Xenopus tropicalis: one gene and its partners. The protein of the gene in region 5 interacts with the protein of the main gene of each other region in a pairwise test. Links are inferred from orthologs where the notes say so. Each region holds a gene or a part of one and is shown on either strand. Other genes may lie near its edges.

What was found.
Region 1: the proteins of cep76 (region 5) and thra interact in binary tests that used the Homo sapiens proteins (3 or more experiments, as listed by UniProt). The two-hybrid records come from large-scale screens. The link is inferred for Xenopus tropicalis from reciprocal best matches to the Homo sapiens genes CEP76 and THRA.
Region 2: the proteins of cep76 (region 5) and nhlrc2 interact in binary tests that used the Homo sapiens proteins (3 or more experiments, as listed by UniProt). The two-hybrid records come from large-scale screens. The link is inferred for Xenopus tropicalis from reciprocal best matches to the Homo sapiens genes CEP76 and NHLRC2.
Region 3: the proteins of cep76 (region 5) and banp interact in binary tests that used the Homo sapiens proteins (3 or more experiments, as listed by UniProt). The two-hybrid records come from large-scale screens. The link is inferred for Xenopus tropicalis from reciprocal best matches to the Homo sapiens genes CEP76 and BANP.
Region 4: the proteins of cep76 (region 5) and kiaa1143 interact in binary tests that used the Homo sapiens proteins (3 or more experiments, as listed by UniProt). The two-hybrid records come from large-scale screens. The link is inferred for Xenopus tropicalis from reciprocal best matches to the Homo sapiens genes CEP76 and KIAA1143.
Region 6: the proteins of cep76 (region 5) and cryba4 interact in binary tests that used the Homo sapiens proteins (3 or more experiments, as listed by UniProt). The two-hybrid records come from large-scale screens. The link is inferred for Xenopus tropicalis from reciprocal best matches to the Homo sapiens genes CEP76 and CRYBA4.

Annotation. Positions count from the first base shown.
Region 1 is NC_030686.2:9,075,652-9,079,151, forward strand, and holds part of thra (thyroid hormone receptor alpha), read right to left. Parts: intron 3,353-3,500; coding exon 3,222-3,352; intron 947-3,221; coding exon 799-946; intron 1-798.
Region 2 is NC_030683.2:3,790,158-3,793,657, reverse strand, and holds part of nhlrc2 (NHL repeat-containing protein 2), read right to left. Parts: intron 883-3,500; coding exon 730-882; intron 1-729. UniProt on the Homo sapiens protein: Required for normal embryonic development.
Region 3 is NC_030680.2:65,815,889-65,819,894, reverse strand, and holds the start of banp (protein BANP), read right to left. Parts: upstream 2,801-4,006; 5' UTR 2,748-2,800; intron 140-2,747; 5' UTR 82-139; coding exon 9-81; intron 1-8. UniProt on the Homo sapiens protein: Controls V(D)J recombination during T-cell development by repressing T-cell receptor (TCR) beta enhancer function. Binds to scaffold/matrix attachment region beta (S/MARbeta), an ATC-rich DNA sequence located upstream of the TCR beta enhancer.
Region 4 is NC_030682.2:53,067,087-53,071,098, reverse strand, and holds the start of kiaa1143 (uncharacterized protein KIAA1143 homolog), read right to left. Parts: upstream 2,801-4,012; 5' UTR 2,789-2,800; coding exon 2,681-2,788; intron 1,092-2,680; coding exon 947-1,091; intron 1-946.
Region 5 is NC_030682.2:103,539,828-103,543,327, reverse strand, and holds part of cep76 (centrosomal protein of 76 kDa), read right to left. Parts: intron 3,272-3,500; coding exon 3,143-3,271; intron 2,800-3,142; coding exon 2,611-2,799; intron 1,111-2,610; coding exon 944-1,110; intron 1-943. UniProt on the Homo sapiens protein: Centrosomal protein involved in regulation of centriole duplication. Required to limit centriole duplication to once per cell cycle by preventing centriole reduplication.
Region 6 is NC_030677.2:148,837,033-148,840,627, reverse strand, and holds the end of cryba4 (beta-crystallin A4), read right to left. Parts: intron 2,466-3,595; coding exon 2,323-2,465; intron 714-2,322; coding exon 566-713; 3' UTR 501-565; downstream 1-500. UniProt on the Homo sapiens protein: Crystallins are the dominant structural components of the vertebrate eye lens.

The DNA of each region.
Region 1 (3,500 bases), on a different chromosome or scaffold from region 5:
CTGGTTTATTTGAGTAGCATTACCTTTCTCAGCTTTGGGATTCACGGTTTGGGGAATAAATTGTGCTATAATATAAAACCATCCTGAGAGTTGCACAAAATCTTTCTGAGTACAGCAATATACCTCTTTGCACTGTCTACCTGGCATTTTATTAGATTACTGATGGTGCCCTCTGCCCACTTTTAAAGGGGAACTCTTGCTTCTGAACCAAAATTTGTTAAAGAGCCCCACACATCACAGAAACCCCTAATATCCCTATCCCTGTAATCTGTTCCTTCAAACAGTAGGAATAAATACCATTTTTATATGCTGAAATCCAGCTGCAAAACAGCTCTTCTCTTTCTGCATCATTTGAAATCCTGGCAAGGGAGGAGGGACTAAAACACTGATGTTACAGATTGTAACAACTTCTCCACAGTTTAGAGACAGCATGCAGGAACTACATAACCCACAATGCATTGCACTGGGATGTTCCTTTCCTTATTGACATCACGTGTGCAGCAGGGAATTGTGGGATTGGGAGGAGGCAGGCTGATGGCAGGCTGAGGGACAGGCGACTACTGTTACATTTTATTTGAGTGACAAAGTAGTCAGCCAGATCAGCAGGGGAACAGGGGGCGGGGCTTAGGGAACTGTTCCAAACCAGATTATTACATTAAATATCATGAAAAGGCTGCATATTTTTCAACTGATGTATATTGCAAAGTTGCTTGAAATTATGTTTCCTTTTCAAAAAGCTTGTGTGTTTGGGTGCAGTTCCCCTTTAATAAACCCCGGAACAGTTTTACCCCCACTTACGATCCATTGCCATGCCAACGGCAATGCATTTCTTGAAGCGGCAGAGCTGGCACTGGTTTCGGGTGATCTTGTCGATAATGCAGCAGCCATCGTACTTGCATGAATAGGAGGGGTGCAGGTTCTTCTGGATGGTGCGACGGAAGAAACCCTGCATAGACGAGGGCAAAAAGCATAATAAAAAACTGCGATATAAAACCAATGACAGTGCTAATAGAGATGGCAAAGTGATTAAGCCTGTAATCTACTCTTCACTGTATGATCTGCTTTATGGCCGAGCAAAACAGGCAGCAACAGCATTATACGAAATACTGGTATAAATAATGGATACATTTCCAACTGGGTCAATTTGTCTAAAAGTTGTTTGTTCCAAATGATTCAGGGCATGGGTTTAAGCATAACGGCCAATTTGTTTTCTGCTTTTAGTACTTTTGGAATAAAGTCTACATTCCTATGCCCTAGTTAAATCCATGCCCATACATAACCCACACCCCATCCAAATCAGTTCCAAACTCCTTTTCTCTCCTTTGGAAAACATCCCTCCTATAAACATTCTTTTATTTACAACTAAAAAAACTTTGTCCTTCTTTCCGGTGCCAATATTTAAGCTACGTACAGCCCTATTCCCATTATGCAAAAGGAAGCTCCTTCGCCTTTAGGAAATAGGCCATCCAAATACTTCCCACCCATTCTAGACACACAAATGTCTTATATTCTAGCCCTGCCCTAAACCATTACACAATAAAATGATTAATATTTCCTGCCCCTAATGCAAGTGCCAATTGGCAAATATACCATATATAATGGTTAGTGTCTATACATAGGTCTGCATCTATATTTATGATTTCTATTGACAGGACTATTAGTGCCTGTATATGTATGGATTAGTATCTATACATAGGCATTTTTGTGCATATATCTCTATGGATAAGTGACTATATCTAGGCACTGTATTACATATATCTGTATGAATTAGTTCATATACCTAGGGCTTGTCTTGCTTATATCTGTATGGATTAGTTCTTATATCTAAGGCTTGTATTGCCTATGTTTGTCCTAACTAGTTCCTATATCTAAGGCTTGTATTGCCTATGTTTGTCCTAACTAGTTCCTATACCTAAGGCTTGTATTGGCTACGGTTAGACTAACTAGTTCCTATACCTAAGGCTTGTCTTGCTTATATCTGTATGGATTAGTTCTTATATCGAAGGCTTGTATTGCCTATGTTTGTGCAAACTAGTTCCTATACCTAAGGCTTGTATTGCCTATGTTTGTGCTAACTAGTTCCTATACCTAAGGCTTGTATTGCCTATGTTTGTCCTAACTAGTTCCTATACCTAAGGCTTGTATTGCCTACGGTTAGACTAACTAGTTCCTATACCTAAGGCTTGTCTTGCTTATATCTGTATGGATTAGTTCTTATATCGAAGGCTTGTATTGCCTATGTTTGTGCTAACTAGTTCCTATACCTAAGGCTTGTATTGCCTATGTTTGTCCTAACTAGTTCCTATACCTAAGGCTTGTATTGCCTACGGTTAGACTAACTAGTTCCTATACCTAAGGCTTGTCTTGCTTATATCTGTATGGATTAGTTCTTATATCGAAGGCTTGTATTGCCTATGTTTGTCCTAACTAGTTCCCATATCTAAGGCTTGTATTGCCTATGTTTGTGCTAACTAGTTCCTATACCTAAGGCTTGTATTGCCTATGGTTGTACTAGCTAGTTCCTATACCTAAGGCTTGTATTGCCTATGGTTGTACTAGCTAGTTCCTATACCTAAGGCTTGTATTGCTTATATCTGTATGGATTTGTTTATATACCAGTGGTGGGCAAACTTTTTGGCTCAGAGGCCACATTGACTTTTAAAATTTGACAGACGGGCCAGCGTTGCGCCGTCTCCACTCGTCAGTCCAAGTCTCACATGATCAGAGTCGGTGGGCCGGATTAAAAAGACCAACGGGCCGTAGTTTGCCCACCCCTGTTCTATACCAAGGGATTGTATTGTTTATATCTATATGGATTGGTTCCTATACCATGGGTTTATATTGCCTTTATCCACATAAGTTCATAAACCTAGGGCTTGTCTATATCTGTAGTAACTAGTTCCTATACCTTGTGTTATCGATATGGGTTTGTTCCTATACCTAATACTTATATTGCCTGTATCTGTATGAATTAGAGGCTGAATAGCCCTATGCTTGGGCCTCCATCTTTACATCCTAACCAGTTAAGGTGGGGGCAGTACAGGTTGATTATAATTGACCCTAGAGCTCACCCCTTATTCAAAAAGTTTCTGTGTATGAAGATGCTGACCTGGATATATGCTCAGAGACTGACAGAGTGCAGATATTCAGTATTAGTATATTGATATTATACAGATCAGAGAATATATTGTATATTATGAATTTATCTTCAGCATACACACCTTACACCCCTCGCAAGTGATACAGCGGTAGTGGTACCCCGTGGCCTTATCACTGCACACCACACACGGCTCGTCTTTGTCCAGATAGCTGGGGATGTACCCTGCAGAGGGCAGAGACACCAAGCTGTCACCTGTGTTATTGGATGAGAGGACAAACTATTGTCAAAGAAGCTGTTTATGGGGGTAGACTGACGCAATGTCCCATGGCTCTCTTTGGCTGCCACCTTGCAGGGGCGTCTCATGGAACATTGCTGTCTGTGTTAACCCCAGACATTATAC
Region 2 (3,500 bases), on a different chromosome or scaffold from region 5:
ACGTTTAAATGCAATGATCTGAAACTAACGGAATACTCTAACCTGTCCCATCGGCTAAATAACCCTTTGCCATGGTATAAAAAATTATTGTACTGTACTTGATCCCAACTAAGATATAATTACCCCTTATTGGGGCAGAACAGCCCTATTGGGTTTATTTCATGGTTAAATGATTCCCTTTTCTCTGTAATAATAAAACAGTACCTGTACTTGATCCCAACTAAGATATAATTACCCCTTATTGGAGCCAAAACAATCCTTTTGGGTTTAATTATTGCTTAAATAATTTTATAAGCACACTTAAGGTAGGGGATCCGAAAACACCAGGTCCCAAGCATTCTGGATATTGGGTCCCATACCTGTACAATCAATATCCGTTCACTGGAAGAAGACTAAAATCTTCTGTGTATGGCCATCCTAACTACGCCGTGTACAGATCAGGTTAGGGAACAGCTTTCAATCATTAGAACACATTTTTATGCTTCTAGCGCCCCCTAGTGGGTAAGTATATTTTTACTGAGAATCACCTGGCAGAGAAGAGAATTAAAAACCAAAAACGGCATTCCTGGAAGATCCCATCCTCTATTTTTCAACTAGAGGGACTGATGTTCAAAGTTGCATTTAGTAATACATTCAGATCTATAACGTCAGCCAATTAGCACCCCCTGCTAATGAGAAACGTGCAGAACGGGTGATACTGCCGGCTGCCTGTGTCTATGGATATTGTACCTTTATCAGAGTATTCATGTTCCAGGGCGTGCAGGTCGGGCAGCACGTGCATACAGTTAATGCAGCAGTATGTAAAGAAGTCCAGCACCACTACTTTCCCGCGCAAGTCTTTGTGTAGAGATAATGGGCCTTCTGTGTTCAGCCATTCTAGCTCTGAAAGGTAAAGGAAAAATTAATGTTTAAATATAATCTCATGATATGTAAAAGGATCTTATTATGGGATGACTTCAAACTCCATCTGAAAAGATCCAGCGCGGTCTATCGGACTTGTTACTACTCACAATGGAAATGAGTTGGGTAGGGATGAAATCTCTTTAGTCTATTACAACCATAATGGTGAAGTTTCCCTTTAATATTAACATTTGGTACTATATAGATGGACCTACAGCAGGCTCTCATTTGCTCTTAATTATATTTATTAATTTCCTACAGTTTCTGATTGGCCGCCCTACTGTGCTTCTTTCCAAACTGCAAATGAAAGCAGATTTCCCATGAGGTTTCAGTGTTATTTTTTGTTTATATTTCTACTCTGTCCCTGTACTGTTCCTCTCCCATACACACATCCATTCTGGTGATCGGTTGCTATGGTAAATTAGCTCCAAGTAACAACAGTCTAGTTTAATTCCATGCTGGCGTGCTGATTTTACACAGTGACCGTGCTTGCTACAACATACAGTAGGTGCATAATTGTTTTTAAACCAAGTTGCCAGGTTGATTCCCAAACTTAATTGGGGGCCTAAGAAAAAAAAATGTTAAGAAATGGTGTTGCAAACAGAGTGAAAAGAGCAGTTTTCCAATGAAGGTGTCCTGTATGAAACTCTGCCTTTATCAGCTCTAATGGTATTAGTAAGCCCAGTTAGTAGTTGCTATGGATAACAGGAGTGGCCACCTTACTACAGAGCCTGTACTAGACTGCACAACCATTAAAGGGGAACCAAAGCTTGGCTAAAGAAGTAGGGCTAGAGATGTTGTAGATTATGTTTTAGGTTTCAGCCCAAGGCAAGCACAGCCCTTTAGCTCCCAAAGATGCCCCCAGTAGCCCCCCATCTTCTTTTCTGCTAATTTCGATGCTCTGGGCTGCTGTCAGTTACTGAGTTTAGGGACCAATGCACACTATACTGTATATATAGAATATAAATGGCACACTATACTGTATATATAGAATATAAATGGCACACTATACTGTATATATAGAATATAAATGGCACACTATACTGTATATATAGAATATAAATGGCACACTATACTGTATATATAGAATATAAATGGCACACTATACTGTATATATAGAATATAAATGGCACACTATACTGTATATATAGAATATAAATGGCACACTATACTGTATATATAGAATATAAATGGCACACTATACTGTATATATAGAATATAAATGGCACACTATACTGTATACAGTGGTGTGAAAAACTATTTGCCCCCTTCCTGATTTCTTATTCTTTTGCATGTTTGTCACACTTAAATGTTTCTGCTCATCAAAAACCGTTAACTATTAGTCAAAGATAACATAATTGAACACAAAATGCAGTTTTTAAATGAAGGTTTACGTTATTAAGGGAGAAAAAAAACTCCAAATCTACATGGCCCTGTGTGAAAAAGTGATTGCCCCCCTTGTTAAAAAATAACTTAACTGTGGTTTATCAATTTCAATTTTCAATTTCAATATCAATTTCTGTAGTCACCCCCAGGCTTGATTACTGCCACACCTGTTTCAATCAAGAAATCACTTAAATAGGAGCTACCTGACACAGAGAAGTAGACCAAAAGCACCTCAAAAGCTACACATCATGCCAAGATCCAAAGAAATTCAGGAACAAATGAGAACAAAAGTAATTGAGATCTATCAGTCTGGTAAAGGTTATAAAGCCATTTCTAAAGCTTTGGGACTCCAGCGAACCACAGTGAGAGCCATTATCCACAAATGGCAAAAACATGGAACAGTGGTGAACCTTCCCAGGAGTGGCCGGCCGACCAAAATAACCCCAAGAGCGCAGAGACAACTCATCCGAGAGGCCACAAAAGACCCCAGGACAACATCTAAAGAACTGCAGGCCTCACTTGCCTCAATTAAGGTCAGTGTTCACGACTCCACCATAAGAGAGAGACTGGGCAAAAACGGCCTGCATGGCAGATTTCCAAGGCGCAAACCACTTTTAAGCAAAAGAACATTAAGGCTCGTCTCAATTTTGCTAAAAAACATCTCAATGATTGCCAAGACTTTTGGGAAAATATCTTGTGGACCGACGAGACAAAAGTTGAACTTTTTGGAAGGTGCGTGTCCCGTTACATCTGGCGTAAAAGTAACACAGCATTTCAGAAAAAGAACATCATACCAACAGTAAAATATGGTGGTGGTAGTGTGATGGTCTGGGGTTGTTTTGCTGCTTCAGGACCTGGAAGGCTTGCTGTGATAGATGGAACCATGAATTCTACTGTCTACCAAAAATCCTGAAGGAGAATGTCCGACCATCTGTTTGTCAACTCAAGCTGAAGCGATCTTGGGTGCTGCAGCAGGACAATGACCCAAAACACACCAGCAAATCCACCTCTGAATGGCTGAAGAAAAACAAAATGAAGACTTTGGAGTGGCCTAGTCAAAGTCCTGACCTGAATCCTATTGAGATGTTGTGGCATGACCTTAAAAAGGCGGTTCATGCTAGAAAACCCTCAAATAAAGCTGAATTACAACAATTCTGCAAAGATGAGTGGGCCAAAATTCCTCCAGAGCGCTGTAAAAGACTTGTTGCAAGTTA
Region 3 (4,006 bases), on a different chromosome or scaffold from region 5:
GTACTGACCTGGATGATGGCCTGGATGTAAATCTTCCACTGCAATTTGAACCACTTCAGCCAGTTCCTGGCCTGACATCATTGGAAGAATAGCAAATATCCAGCAAGAGGGGCTTTTGTGAAAAGGAATGTGGAAATTCCTGCAAACACAAAATTGTAACATGCTGACGAATATATATTTTAAAAATAAAGTGTATGATATAAAGCAATATACACTTAGGGAATTGTGTACAAACAGAAAGAAACTGTCTCCACTCTGGGTGTGGCAGGTCATAATCCATCAGCATACTCAAGATCAGTGATCCCCAAACAGTGACTTGTGAGCAACATGTTGCTCCCGGTGGCCTCAAAGCAGTTGCTCATTTTTGAATTTCTGGCTTGGTGGCACATTTTGGAGGCATAAAACCATATGTACTGCCAGACAGAGCCTCCTGTGGTCTGCCAGTCCACATTGGGCTACCAAATAACCAATCACAGCCCTTTCTGGGCACCCCCTAGGAACCTTTTTCATGCTTGTGTTGCTCCCCAACATTTTTTTTATTTAAATGTTGCTCGCAAGTAAAAAAAAAAAAAAGGTTAGGGACCTCTGCTCAAGTTGCAGCATCTCTGCATCACAACCACTTTGACATAAATATTATTTGTCCCTAAAAGCCAAGAAACCTACCCATGCTTAAAGGAGAAGGAAAGGCTAATAAAGAGTTAATCCCAAGCTGCAGGCATACCTTCAGTTGTCTCAATAGTGCCCTTAAATCTCCCCATACTTCACCCGTTCAGAAGATCAGAAGCCAAACAGGAAAAAAAAATGCTGAGCTGGGTAGAGAAGATTCCCATAATGCATCGCTCCTTCAAGACTTGGCGACTTGTTACTGCAGGCGGCGCATGCGCACAGGGCAGGAGCGTCCGGTTGCCATGGCAACGCAGCGTCGCCGAACTCTGTGACAAGCAGGTGGGGGAAGCGGGGGACAGGTGCTGCGAGCGGCGGAGGGTTTGTGGCAAGAGCGGGGGGGTTTGTGGAGCTTGGGGGGGTTTGTGGCAGGAGCGGGGAGCTGCAGAATCTTTGTGACAGGAGCGGGGAGCTGGCTTGTGCTTTTCAGCCCATACAGACATGCTGGACAAGATGGTGGCGCTGTTCACTGAAACAAGTATGTAAGTTCTAGTATGTGTATCTATGTAAATCTTTCATTAGGCGGCCAGGAATATAGCGTTTTTACACAGCAATAGTAGTACTATTTAATAGTGTGCTTAATAGATTTTGACTTTCCTTCTCCTTTAATATACAGCTATAAAGTACACTTAGAATAAGGCAACTTCAACCCCCTACCCTTCAAAAGCACTATTAAAACAAAACTGAGGGCTTACAAGTTTACACAAAAGAAAACAAATCTAAAAGTAACACATTTCTTTTCTTATCTTACCATAATATATGTTTCTCTATCTACAATAAACCTCTGATGTTGGTATCAGTCTCAAAATCCTCATGGGATCACTAGTATTTCACTTGTCATTAATTGGCTCTGGGATTGTATAATTTATTTCAATAATAGTGCAGGAAATAAGGCAATCCCTTGAACCCCTGCATTCATTTTCTCCAGTGCCCCATAGAAATAAAATAAAACTCCAGACCAAAACATCAAGCTGAGCAATTACTCCTTTATAGAATCAAAAGGAAAAAAGCACCCAACAGGCAAAAAGACACTCAATTTCTCCCAACTAAGTGATATATAACCAAACTGGTTTTCAAAGTAAAGGACATTAAAAATTAGAAAATTAAGGAAATGTAAAAATCATATATTCAAAAATGAACAGGATAAATACCCCTTGTGCTAAGGAGGCTTGGGTGTCAAAACCCCGAGCCTAACACTTGAAACCAGAAAGGCTCCTATTCCTTATTCAATTTTCATATGAGTGGGGAAAACAGTGTGCTCACCGATGTCCAAAGATGGTCCGGGTGCTCAAAGCCCCGAACCCGTAGCTGAAGGTATCATCAAAGAAGAAGCAGGACGTAAAGCACTCCGGACTGCCAGGGTCTGCTAAAACATGATCTTTATTTCTTCACATTAAAAACAGGTGCCTGACGCGTTTAGTGCACTTATTCATAGGCCAACGAATAAGTGCACTAACGCACGAAACGCGTCAGGCACCTGTTTTTAATGTGAAGAAATAAAGATCATGTTTTAGCAGACCCTGGCAGTCCGGAGTGCTTTATGTCCTGCTTCTTCTTTGATACTAAAAAATAAAGGATTATGGCAATGAGTGTAACATAGACCTTTATAAAGCAATATGTACATTGTTGTACTGTTTTGGTCTTAAGGGAGGCCCTGTTGTGCTGCACTTATTTTGATAACGGGGCCCAATGCTGTCAGTGAGCTGCAGACTTCAGAAGGGAGGGAGCTTCAGTGCCTGCATGTTCTTTTCTCTACACATCTTTCTCTACTGCTCCCTTTGTCACAGAAGTTTTAGTCCAAGTAGGGCATGATAAGGAAAAGATGGGCTAGGGAGAGTTCACACTCCAACCTGTACCCTATCTAATCACTGTGCAGCTTCACAGGGACTAAAACTTGTGACAAAACAAGCAGTACAGAAAGCTGTATATGGGGAAACAAAACGCAGGCACCTTAGCTCCCGCCCTTCCTTCTAAGGTCTGCAGCTCACCGACAGCAGGGAGGGGCCGGCTAAACGAGTAAGTGCATACAACACAGACTCTCCCCATTTTCCTATCACAGCCCGCAGTATCAGATCGCTACTTACAATTCCCGCAAAGATTTTAACTGCAAGATTCTGGCCTCCTTCCTGACTTAGAGAAAATCCCGACGCCTCATCACGCGAGATTGCGTAATGACGTCCGGACGCAAAGCGCAGTGACGTAACACGTAGCCGTCTAATGGGAGTAACATGGGGATACGACGTAATTTAGTGTTACGCAATTAGAAGCGGCTATGGTGCAGTAGGTCCGCTCACAGTTTGTTTTTGCTATACTCAACACACCACCTACTTTTGTTAGAGAACAAAAAAAAAGATAAGAATTTTCTTTCTTATTGGTTGCCATGGCCTCCACGTCGGCTTCCAGTATTTCATACGCAGCACTTTATCATTTTTGCTCAGATTTTCTTCTTTTGCCAGGAAACGAACAGAAGACTTTTTTTATTGGTTGCGAATAGCACCTTCCGCTGTCGGATCCGCTTGTCCCAATTTGACCAAAAAAGGAAAGAGATTTTGCTCTAACATGGGTCAGATGAAATTAGGTCATCACTTTAGGGATTTTTTTTTTGTATTAAGCGGGCCGCAGTATTTTTGTGCAAACAAGGGCTAATTTGGGGGAGGACCATGAAATGGGTACAATTTATTTTATCTTTATGTTCTACGTACTTTTAAACCTATTAAAGGAGAGGTATATAAAAATGAATGTACCAGTGAATTATACTCTTTTAGGTATAGAAGGATTGTGCTTAAAAAAAAGTTGTGTTTCAGACTGATTTATTGAGAAATTCCCCTAAAACCCCGGTAGTCCCCCCCATCTGTTCTACTTCCTGCTGGCTCTGGGTACACTGCACTGTAGGATAGGAACCAATCAGCAGATAGGCTGACCTGATAGGGAACTGAAGTCTGTCTTTGCTTGTGTGACTGCAAGGTTTTTCCCATTTATCCAATATGTCTCCTTTAAAGGAACAGTAACGTCAAAAAATTAAAGTGTTTTAAAGTAATTAAAATATAATGTGCTGTTGCTCTGCAAAAAACTGGTGTTTTTGCTACAGAAAAGCTACTATATAAATAAGCTGCTGTGTAGCCATGGGGGCAGCCATTCAAGCTGGAAAAAATAAGAAAAGGCACAGGTTACATAGCAGATAACTAGTAGATAAGCCCCATATAATGGGGGTTTATCTGTTATCTGCTAAGTAACCTGTGCCTTTTCTTATTTTTTCCAGCTTGAATGGCTGCCCCCATGGCTACACAGCAGTTTACTTATATAAACCATAGTAGTCTTTCTGAGGCAAACACACCAGTTGTAG
Region 4 (4,012 bases), about 50 Mb from region 5:
TCATTCCTCATATTGGTAGCCCTCTTTTCAATGTGCCAACTGTAATTGTTAATGACAAGCATGTGCTGATAGGTAAACAACATAATTTATATTATATAAGTAACCATCATGCATAAGCATGGGTAGGAAGAAATACAGCCAAACAGAACTGCTCTGTTAACTGTGTTAATATAATCAGTGCAATTAAAGTCACAGATTCAACCAGTGCATAACACATGGAAGATTAGAAGGCTGGCATTTCTTATTAGGACTGTGTTCAGAAATTGATTCATCATTGTATAATGCATTTTCTTACTCTGGTACAAAGTTTTAATACAAACAAAGGTCGTCAAAATACCTGGATGACAGAACTAAAGAAGGTCACTGCATACATTATTTCTCAACTGAAACATGGATAGAAAGGGTTTTATTTAAAGAACCTTTTTACATGCATTCAGCTGAGAGAAGTCTACAGCAGCAGAGGCCAATATGTAATAAGAAACAAGAATACTTACAAGGAATTCTAGAACAGCAAGACTTTGCTCTCAGTGTGCATCCTATGATGTAGGGTATTTTATAGTTATGAGTTATGAGTTATTGAATCTCTTAGGGAATGTGGGGTTTAAATATTTATCCTCATGGACTTACACATATACACTTACTTATATACTATATGGCTAAAAGTGTCCAGAAACCTCTCCTTCATCTCAGTCTGAATCCAAGGTATTTTTAAAAAGGTTGGTCCTTCTTTGAATAGATATCATTTCTGGGAAGGCTTTCCATGTTTGCAAAGGAGGGAAAAGATGTTGAATGATCAGACCTGGCTGGAAATCAGTGTTCCAACCCGATGGTCATGTGTTTAAAGGTCAAAGTTCTACCACACCTATTTTAGCAAATCAATCTGTTAAGGGCTAATCACTAAACATGCGATCAGAATTTTGTTTTTAGAAAGATCAGATACACAGACCTTTTGAGTTTTCTTTGATTTGTTCTTTAATTTTCATAACCTCCTCTGCTGAGAGGTCACCTTTTCTCAGGACCACCACCTGAGGCTGTTCATCTTCTTTATCACTCCCATCACTGTCATCTGCAAGTACGGGAAGTTCCTGTCTCTGCAGCGCAGTTAGATCAAGAGAAAAATTAATTTAAATAAGTTGTCATCATTCTAAAAAACTCTGCAGGAAATGGACTTAAAATGTGGCTAAATAAATATGGCTAAATATGGCTATATCATTTGGGTTTGAATATTGCCCTGATTAATCTGTGAGTATATGATTTTTAATTTTCTCTGTATACTTTCCATTAACTTTATTTCACCAAGCTTTTATAAGTTTGTTAGTGTCTCAGTATGCAGTTTAAGCCTTACCTGAGCAGTCAATGTCTTACTAGCAGGCTGGGCCCAACTCCTATCTTACAACTCCTCTTAACTCATATCATCGTAATAACCTACGAGAGGATGTTGTCTGATACTCAGATGGGCATGGTATGGTGTCATCACAATCGCTGCTTGACAACTAGGCTTGTAAATACTTTGTTCATAACAGTGCTTAGAACAAAAGAAGACTTATGCTGGCAAAGACTTAAAGGACATGTAAAGCCTACATTTGCTTACAATGTATATCAGTTAGGCACATCTCCCCCACCCAAATGGCATCATGTGTACTGTATATATCCCCTCCGTTTGCTAGCACCATCACATTTTCATAAAGCAAATAGCAGCTTTCACCTGGTGGCCATTTTTCCTCTGATACATAATCAGATACATTTAAATTTGCAAACAGCATACACAGACCCTTATTCAGCATACATTTCACCAAGAATACAGGCTCACACAGGCACAAATGTCTCTGATAAAAGTTCTGCTTTGTTTGAGCTGAGCTCAGAAGAGTTGGTTGGAAGAAAAAAATTGAAGCAGACAGCTAGAGCTGAGTTTCTATGGGAACCAGCAATGCCATCTCTTCACTGGCTGCTAGACTGGAGGCGTGTTTGGTAATCTGAGCTTAGAACAACTGAGCATGCCCACAAGCCAACAGCCAAAGCAAATTCCTAAAGGGAGGGGGCCAAGTGGGTTACAGGAGGAGAAGCAAATCTAAGTGATAAAGGGGACACTGCAGCCTTACTATTAACCTCTGGACAACCATTGTGGCAGGTATTGAAAGATTTCAAAGAGGCTGTTCACTGATTACATTTTGTGTGTGGGGTTTACATGTCCTTTAAACTAGCCATACACACAAAGATCTGTTCATTTGGCGAGGTCATCAAACGAGTGGATCTTTTCCCAATATGCCCACCTTGAGGTCACTTTGCTGGGACAGAGGCAACAGGAAGAGGACCACATCAACGTGCTGATGCACTCCTAGCCCCGACAGAACTTGGTTAATCTCTGCGTGGGACATCAGTCTAAGGGCTTGTTGCAGCTACAAAATTGTCTCTGCTAAAACACATGTAGATACAACTATCATTATTGACAATTTTGTAGCCACTACAAGTAGCTCCTTGTGTCATTGCCTAAAAGTAGAAAGTGGTTGCCAGCAGGGATGGTTGTTCATCACTGCAGTTTTCTATAAGGGCTGATGCAATAAAAAAAAAAAAAAAATCAATCCATTTGTCCCAGCAAACAAAAGAAGAATTTTTGTTAATCAAAATAAATACACATTTCACAATATGAAAATGTTGTCAGCTATCTGTGTAGAGCACGCACCTTTGTGTCCACTGTGGGTCCCTCTTTGTAGCCAACATCTTTCTTGAACTTGGAAATAAAGGAGGGCTCAACAGGCTTCACATAGGATACTTTATTTCTTTTACTCATGGCTACAAGAAACTGAATAAAAAAAAGATTTACTGAAATTTATGTCCCAGAAAGATTACAAACAAGTTCTGAAAATGCAGCATAAATACACACTGGCTAATTTTGCACATGGGCATTTACACACGGAAAATACATTTTTGCTAGCAGCTGGCTGAACAAATCTAATCACTGACTGGTTGCTATGGGATTCTACCCCAGGCAAATTTGCCCAAACAAACCTAAAGATCTAGACTCAATGAATCTGACACTTTTGATATTCAATTATATTCACTTACTTATCAATTGCAACCTTTCTGAATTGCAAAAGTTACCAAACTAACCCATGTGAAAATATGTTTTGTATTTGAACAGTCGGTCAGTTGCTGCACTTCTGCCTTTTCATTTATGTTTGAAGGTCCAAAAAGAACTTGGCTAGTTTCCCATTAAAACAAAACAACATATAACAGGTTTACAAGATAAACAATCCCAGAGAAGTTAATTTACTACAGATTTAGATGACAATAAATAGAATCATAATTTTACCTGTACATATTTATAGATTAGCTAAAAATTTGTCTACGACAGAAGGACATTTAGGTTTAAAAGATGCCTTACACTGGAATCTTTTGTGACTAATTATGTTTCTTTATTAGGGTAAAGCAAGCCATACACAAGTAGAGCTGCTCTTTGGACCAGGCCACCAGATCTTTGCCTGATTTGGAGATCCAAGTTCCTGGCCGGTCAAACTGTTCAGTCCTCTGGCAGTAAATACATCACGTGGAGGGATGCACACATCAACAACCAGATGTAATTAATATCTGACAAGTCCCTTATCAGACATGTGGGTATAAGGTCTATCATTCTGGGCCCATAGCTAGCCAAAGTTGTCAGCCAATACCTACCGGTGCACAGACAACTTAACAATCAGTCAAATATAAGAGGTTGTAGCAGTGCTGCACCTAAGATCCAAAGAATCTTTCATGTTCTTGATTTGTGAAACCAGTTAAAGTCTCACTTACCCAGTGGTTTGAATGGAGCCCGGAAAGATGAAGAAAAGACGGTCTGACGAAAAAGACAACTGATAAAAAAAATAGTATTTCCAAAAATAAAAAGTTTCAGGATAAGTCTTTCTAGTTGCCCAGGGTCACTGGCAGCATTTTCAATTTTAACATATAGTGATTTATAATAGGTTAAAAAAAACCCAGAGATGAATTAGAAAAGCCAGGAGGTTCTGTAGGTCATTTC
Region 5 (3,500 bases):
AGCAGCTGCCATTTTAGCTTGGTCTTCGCAGCTTCCCTGCTGAAGCTCTAGCTGCTGGTAACTCAGATCACACATTCTAATGGGAGGGGAGTGAAATCTTATGGGGGGGGGGGGTGCAGGAGAAGGGAGAGAGGAGAGAGCTGTGCAGACTCAGGCCTGGGAATGAAGGATTTTTCTGAGAGAGGAAGTCTGATACCGAAGAACATGTTTACACAAAGGAAGTGTAGCTTTTCTGCGATGTATTTACATAGACCTTTCCGATAAAGCTTACGTTGTTTTTACCTTTCCTTCTCCTAGAAGCATCTTCGTTTTTAAACAGTGCTATAGATTTTTAATTAGACTGAGTTGGATTGAGATTTTTACCATCACTTTTACTCCAGTTACAGCTACTAAATTCTATAGTTCCTGTTGGCAAACCTACATCTTCTTTGTCCAGAAACATGTGCACGAACATTTCTCGAAACATAGCTTTCTGTTTACTGTACCAACAGTGTCCACTAGAGCCTGGATACTGTTTTTTACCCCTTTTCCACTTTAGGCATTTGTATTGCTTTACCTTAAATTTCTTTGGAATGCTCTTTAATCTTAATTTTAGAGCAGTCCTTCATATGCACAAAAAAAATTATCTAAAAAATGATTTCTTAAATGTAGCAGTTATTTTAACAATTCACTAAAAAGACAAATCTGAACCAATTCTGTTAACAATTCTGTTAATTGCTATACAAAATGATAGTATGAAAATGATTTTTGTTATCCAAAATGACAGAGAATACAATTACAGCATAGATTTATAGTAAGTAAAATGAATGAAAGCAAAAATCAACTCTAAATACTTTTGCAAGGCAACATAAATGTACTGTATCTACTGAGCTAATACTGGTGGAACTGTCATCATCACACAGTGTTTTGCATGATAAGCCGGTGCACAATTTTCCAGACAAACCTGTGCCCAGTCAAGCTCTCCCAAAATGTAATGGCACCATCAGTTCCACAAGTCATCACCCATGTATGTGCCTGTCCTCTTCCTTTGGTACCCACACACACATAGGCATCTAATCCAAAGCCAAGAAGAAGACTGCAAAGAAGATTGCAATGGTCCTCACAGTCCCCCTAGGAGGAAAAGGCAACAAAATATTGTTTAAACAGATAATAATACACTGCTGTTATAAATAAATCATGTTATTTCTATCCTGTCAAAGCAGAACAGTCATATCACATATCAAATTTACAATGTAAAATGTAGTTGTGGTTATGGTTGTGTTCAAAGTCACTCTTTCCGTTTCGATTTAGTTATCCCACCTGCTTTTACAAATTCTGCACATGTAAATCTATAGACACAAATGAACCCTGAAGCGACTGTCACATCCAAAAGGTTCCCAAAGAGGCCTGCACTTGCTCTTAACGGATCAGAAGCACATTTTATCAAAGCACAGGCACCCTCATATCAACACATCAGCTGCAATTGGGCACATCATCCACTCGCAAACCCAATTATGCTGGAATTATGAGGAAAAATGCTGAATTGTGGGTAAAACAATAGCTATTGTGTCCAAAATCACACTTAGGGGCACATTTACTAAGACGCGAATTCGAATCCGAATTGGAAAAATACGTTTGGAAAATGAACATTTTGCGATTTTTTCGTATTTTTTGCGATTTTTTTTGGCGCCTTTACTACTTTTTCGGAAATTGTCGCGACTTTTTCGTTACCAATACGATTTGCGCGAAAAAACGCAAGTTTTTCGTAGCCATTACGATGCACTCGTATCTTGTCGCGACTTTTTCGTATTGAGCTCTCGTAAGCGGCGGGCAAAACTTTCAGACTTAGCATGATTTTGGAAGCCTCCCATAGGACTCAATGGCACCCTGCAGCTCCAACCTGGCCCAAGTAAAGTCACCATACTGAAGCTTGAATGAATCCGAATCTTTCGTACTCGGCACGAAGGCTACGAAAAAGTCGTGACAAAATACGAGCGCATCTTAACGCCTACGAAAAACTTGCGTTTTTTCGCGCAAATCGTATCAGTAACGAAAAAGTCGCGACAATTTTCCGAAAAAATCACCAAATACCTATCATTACGAAAAAAAACGCAATCGGACGCATTCGGCCGGTTCGTGAGTAAGTAAATGGGCCCCTTAGTATGCTGCACTTGCAGTAAGTAAAATGACCCCTCAGGAGTATTGTCATTATTGGCCCAAAAAAGTGCATTATACCACCAGAGCAAGTGGAGGCATGCTGTTTACAAAGAGCACAATTTATGGAGCCTCATGGCAGTGTGGAATGTTGATAAAGAGATAGCAGGTGGTGTGTGTCTAGTAAGTGATGTGTTGCAGAGGGGAACCAATTGCAAATTCTTTATCAAATTCATTATCCTGAGTGTGATGAAGCTTAATCTTTATACAATTGACAAGTAGCTGCTCACTCACTTGTTTGTATTTGTAGCACACACTGCAATGCTTGTATTCTGTGTTTTTTTTTTTTACATGAGCCAAGTTTCTACATCTTTCCTCTGCTAAGTACACACACAGTTTTGCATTATTCAGGCAAAAGCAGAGTTACTTTAAACAGCATATGGTTAACTATGAAATCAAAACTATTTAATCTCATACCTTATTTCTGCAAAGGAATGCTAAAAGGGTGCACCACTGTTCCTGTTTGCCACCCCCACCAACAGTTGGGGCTCTTTCATACCCCAGGACATTAACAAAGCGTGCTGCTTGTCGAGGGGTATCCAGTAAACGACCTGCTCTCAGGGGACGAATGTATGAACACACTGGCCTATTTACCCAGTTTTCATCCTAAAAAACCAAAAGGGCAAAATTACAAATATATAGTAATTTAGAAGTAATTTACTACCCTTCACTAAGGAAAGCATCGGCACCATTTACTGAAATAGTAGGGGTGCATGCAATCCTTTGTTCTATAAAATAAACACGTATATTTCCTTTCAAATTGTTTTTTACTGCTCAAATTGTTTAGTTTTAGCTTTTCATGTGTCTATAGTTTCAGATCTTGAATTCTGGACCATAAATGGACAATAATGATACTGTATTGTTTTGTCTGCTATAAAACAATATTATACTGTTACAAATCACATGGACAGTTATTAACACTGCATTTAATTAAAAGTTCACTATAAACCTGTGCAAAAATCTTTACAAGCCTGGAGTTATGTGAAGGGCGAATTTGCAAATATTCTCTCCACCATTGCTTGGCATACACCAGAAAGAGCCTTTCCTTCTCAGCTGTCTTTTGCCGTTCCAAGGTAAACTGTGAACAGATGGTTTTTAAAGAAGTTGGGACCACTTGAAATGAATATTATAGTATTAAGAAAAGCATATCATATCACACTTCCCCTCCTAAATTAGTTTTTGAGGCTAATTTACTAGTGCAGTTTCCCATAGCAGCCGATGAGATCTTTGCATTCATTTTCTAACAAGCAGTAGTTAAATAAAAACATATGCCTAATTAGTAGCTATCATTAACTGCACTGGTGTAT
Region 6 (3,595 bases), on a different chromosome or scaffold from region 5:
TCTGTCATACAGGAGTGCCATATTTCCAGCAATTACAAAAAAAGAAAGGAAGCACCAGGTTCCTATAGGTGGGCCAAACATATTTTATAAATTGAATGCAAGGGAACCATGCTGTGTGTTTTCCTGTCTCTTAGCCAGGGCTCTATTTTGCCAATCAAGAGAAATCTGTGTTCCACTATCTTTTGTGTTAGTAGATTTCACCTTAGAGGGGTTTTTGGGTGTGGTGAGCACCAGGTGCTTCATGGTAATTGTAACTGTGTGCAAAAAAAGTATTCTATTTCCAGCAATAACCATGTCCACAATGGAAAGCTTTCTTTGAAGGTTCCTCATATTTCCTGCCGCTACTTTTGCAGAGGAAAACTGCATATACAACAGAAGACTGGAACCTGGTGTTATATTACCCTGCAGACACACCACCTCAGGGAAGCCTGACATCTTGGTGAGGTGCACCAACAACAACCATTACATGCCATAACAATATACTGATAAAAAACATGCCATATCTTTTTATGCTTTATTTGTTTCAGGTTAAAATACAAGAATGTGTATGGATGTGATATTTTCTTTACTGCTGAATTCTGCGGATGGACTGAATCTGGAAGGTTTGTGCATGGGATCCCCATTCTCTCCAGTGCTTGTATTCTCCAGAGTGGCGGTCACATTCCATGATGTACTGAAATCCGCGGTAACCAGGATACTGGTAGCACACCCAGCTGTAGAGGGATTCAAATATTTGTAACAATTGGTAGCTATATACATTTGGTAAGAGGATGTATAAGGACATTTAATCATGTTATATACTAGTCATGTATATACTAGCAAAAGCAAAAAAAAGAAAATAATTAGGCATAACTAAAATACATATTATGTATACTTTAGCAATGCTGTTTGGTTTTACAGTAGAAATAAGTACACACATTATCAACAAATATTTGTAACACATTTCAGTGAAAACAAATGCCTATATAGTATGTCCCTAAACTCCAACCCCAAGTATACAGATAACTGACTCTACAAACTCCATTATGAGCAAGTGTCCAGACCAGCCTCAGAAAATACATGTAACAGATAACAGACTGATATTATATAGAAAATGTGGGTGGCTGTAGAGCTGGCCATACACGCACCGATAATATCGTACGAAACCTCGTTTCATACGATATTCGGTGCGTGTATGGCAAGTCGGTGAGTCGACCGATATCGCAGGAGGCTGCTGATATCGGTCGACTCGCCAATCGGGCCGGTTAAAAGATTTTGATCGGGCGCCATAGAAGGCGCCTGAGCAAAATCTGCCGTCAGGGCTGAATCGGCAGAAGGAGGTAGAAATCCTATTGTTTCTACCTCCTTATCTGCTGTTTCAATCCTGCACGGTTAGTGGCAGATTGTACGATTTTTTGTGCGACCGATGGTCGCACGAAAGATCTAAAATCGCCATGTGTGTGGCCACATTAGGACTGAAATGGAAACTTTGACTTTTTGTAGGGGTGCTCCACCCACAGTGTCAGGGACTACACACATTTTTCTGTAAATAAGGAGAACTGTGAATCATGGGAGTTGTTGGTACATTGCATTCTGGAATAATAATATTTATTTGCCTTATGCTTGCCGTTTGCATGTAAGAAATCACAGTTTAGGATTCTACTATAAATCATGATTCAGAGAAGAAACAGCCTTGTGCTATTGCATTACTAGACAAGTGGATTAATCTCATCTATCTAGTTAGTGCTTTGTGGTTTTTGCCTTGCAACAGGATATCTGACCACGGGAAGTTACTGATGATTATCTCTAACAAACCCTCACTCAGTAAAGCTACATTTCTAAAGTTAAAGTATAAGTTCCTCCACACTGACAGATTCTTTTGAATATTTATAAATATTAATTAAAGTGATTTTATATCTTTGTAATATATATATATACAAGAAGAAGTATAGCCTGTAACCATATATGATTTTTTTAATGCAATAAATCATCTGAAAGCCCTTTAAAAGTGAGTAGAGAGCTATGACATTTCCTTCTGGCAGATTGTCGTGTGTTATATTTTTCCCTTTAGTAAATATGCTCCATTGTGCCAAATTGGCCTGTTCACACACAGATTAGGTGTTTTGGTTGTTGCTTAAATGCACAGATCAAGTAGGGGAGCAATTAGGTCTTTCCAGCAACAACCAATGAGAAGAGATAATAAGAGCAAAGCTAAATAACATCTTTTTCATTAAATTAGGTAAATATTAAAACATTGTGGCTATTTTTTTCTTCATACATATGTAGAATAATGCACTGGTTGTTTAATAAAGTGCAATAGGCAAGGTATGCCCAATGACTTACGCGCCAGAATGAACACGGAATGAGCCTACTTCATTGTTGCACCATCCCATAGCTTGCAGAGAGGGATAGTCATCACTTATCTCTCCTTTCCTTCCCAGGAAGTTTTCCTTCTCAAATATGGACATCTTGCAATCACGATGGTTCTGGAAAAAAACCAAAAGCTGTTGCCTTGATCTTATAACCGCGCACATCTTTGATAGAACTTTGCCCATTACAGAGCGACTGTTTCAGATCAGATGTAAGTTTCTTTAAAAAGCAGCATTAATTATATCCACATAGATAGAAATTTGAGGAAGGCCACCAGATGTTTAAAGGAACGCTGGGATCCTAATTATCAACAGATTGTGGTTACCAGAAGAACTATGCAGTATAGGACCCTGTCTCAGTTATAAATAAATCTGCTACACCTCTTATACATCACTGTAGTATCTCTTTGTATTTACGTGCAATACTTAGGACTAATGCACGTGGCACTTGTATTTGGGGCAATGGTCTTTATAGGCTGTGCTCTCCATTTTGCACTAGATTAAAAATCCAGTGTCAGGTAGTGCACAACATGCACTTTGCACCATTCCCAAGGTTTCATAATTATGTCCTAATGTGTATTGATAACTTTGGATATACTAGAGTTTAGAATCACGGGTCTATCAGCTTTTTCTGTTTAATTTGGTGGTGATTAGGCGAGGTAGGTCTGAATATCAGAATAAACTTTTTTCCCTTTTCCTAATACATGTATGAAATAGAATTTGGGTAATAGAAATCTTAAACCTTATACCTGAATTTGTGTGTAACTACTCTTTTCCCTTAAACAGTGCTAAGGAGTGTATTTATATTTGTTGTGTGCAGAGAACATTCCAGTTCAGCATATTTCCAGTTTTACACATAAGTGAGAAATTCCATATTGCTTGTGTTGGCAGATGCCACCTTAGGCCTGTACTCCTAGTGGCCATAATTTCAAGGTCCACTGCTGAGGAATTGCCAATTTAGTATATTTGCTGTGGCCAAAGGAGCAAACATATGGTTTAAAAGAAAAGAGCACATTGGTGGTTGTTTATATAAGGGGCATTAAATGAAAAGTAAATCCTGTTTATAAATAGTATACAATATATTGTACATTAAGGTGCTCTTTTATGTCCCTGATAAATACCCCTAAACCAGGGATCCCCAACCTTTTATACCTGTGAGCCACATTTAAATGGAAAAAGTGTTGGGGAGCAACACAAGCATGAAAAATGTTCCTGCGGTGCCAATAAGAGCTATAATTGGCTACTTA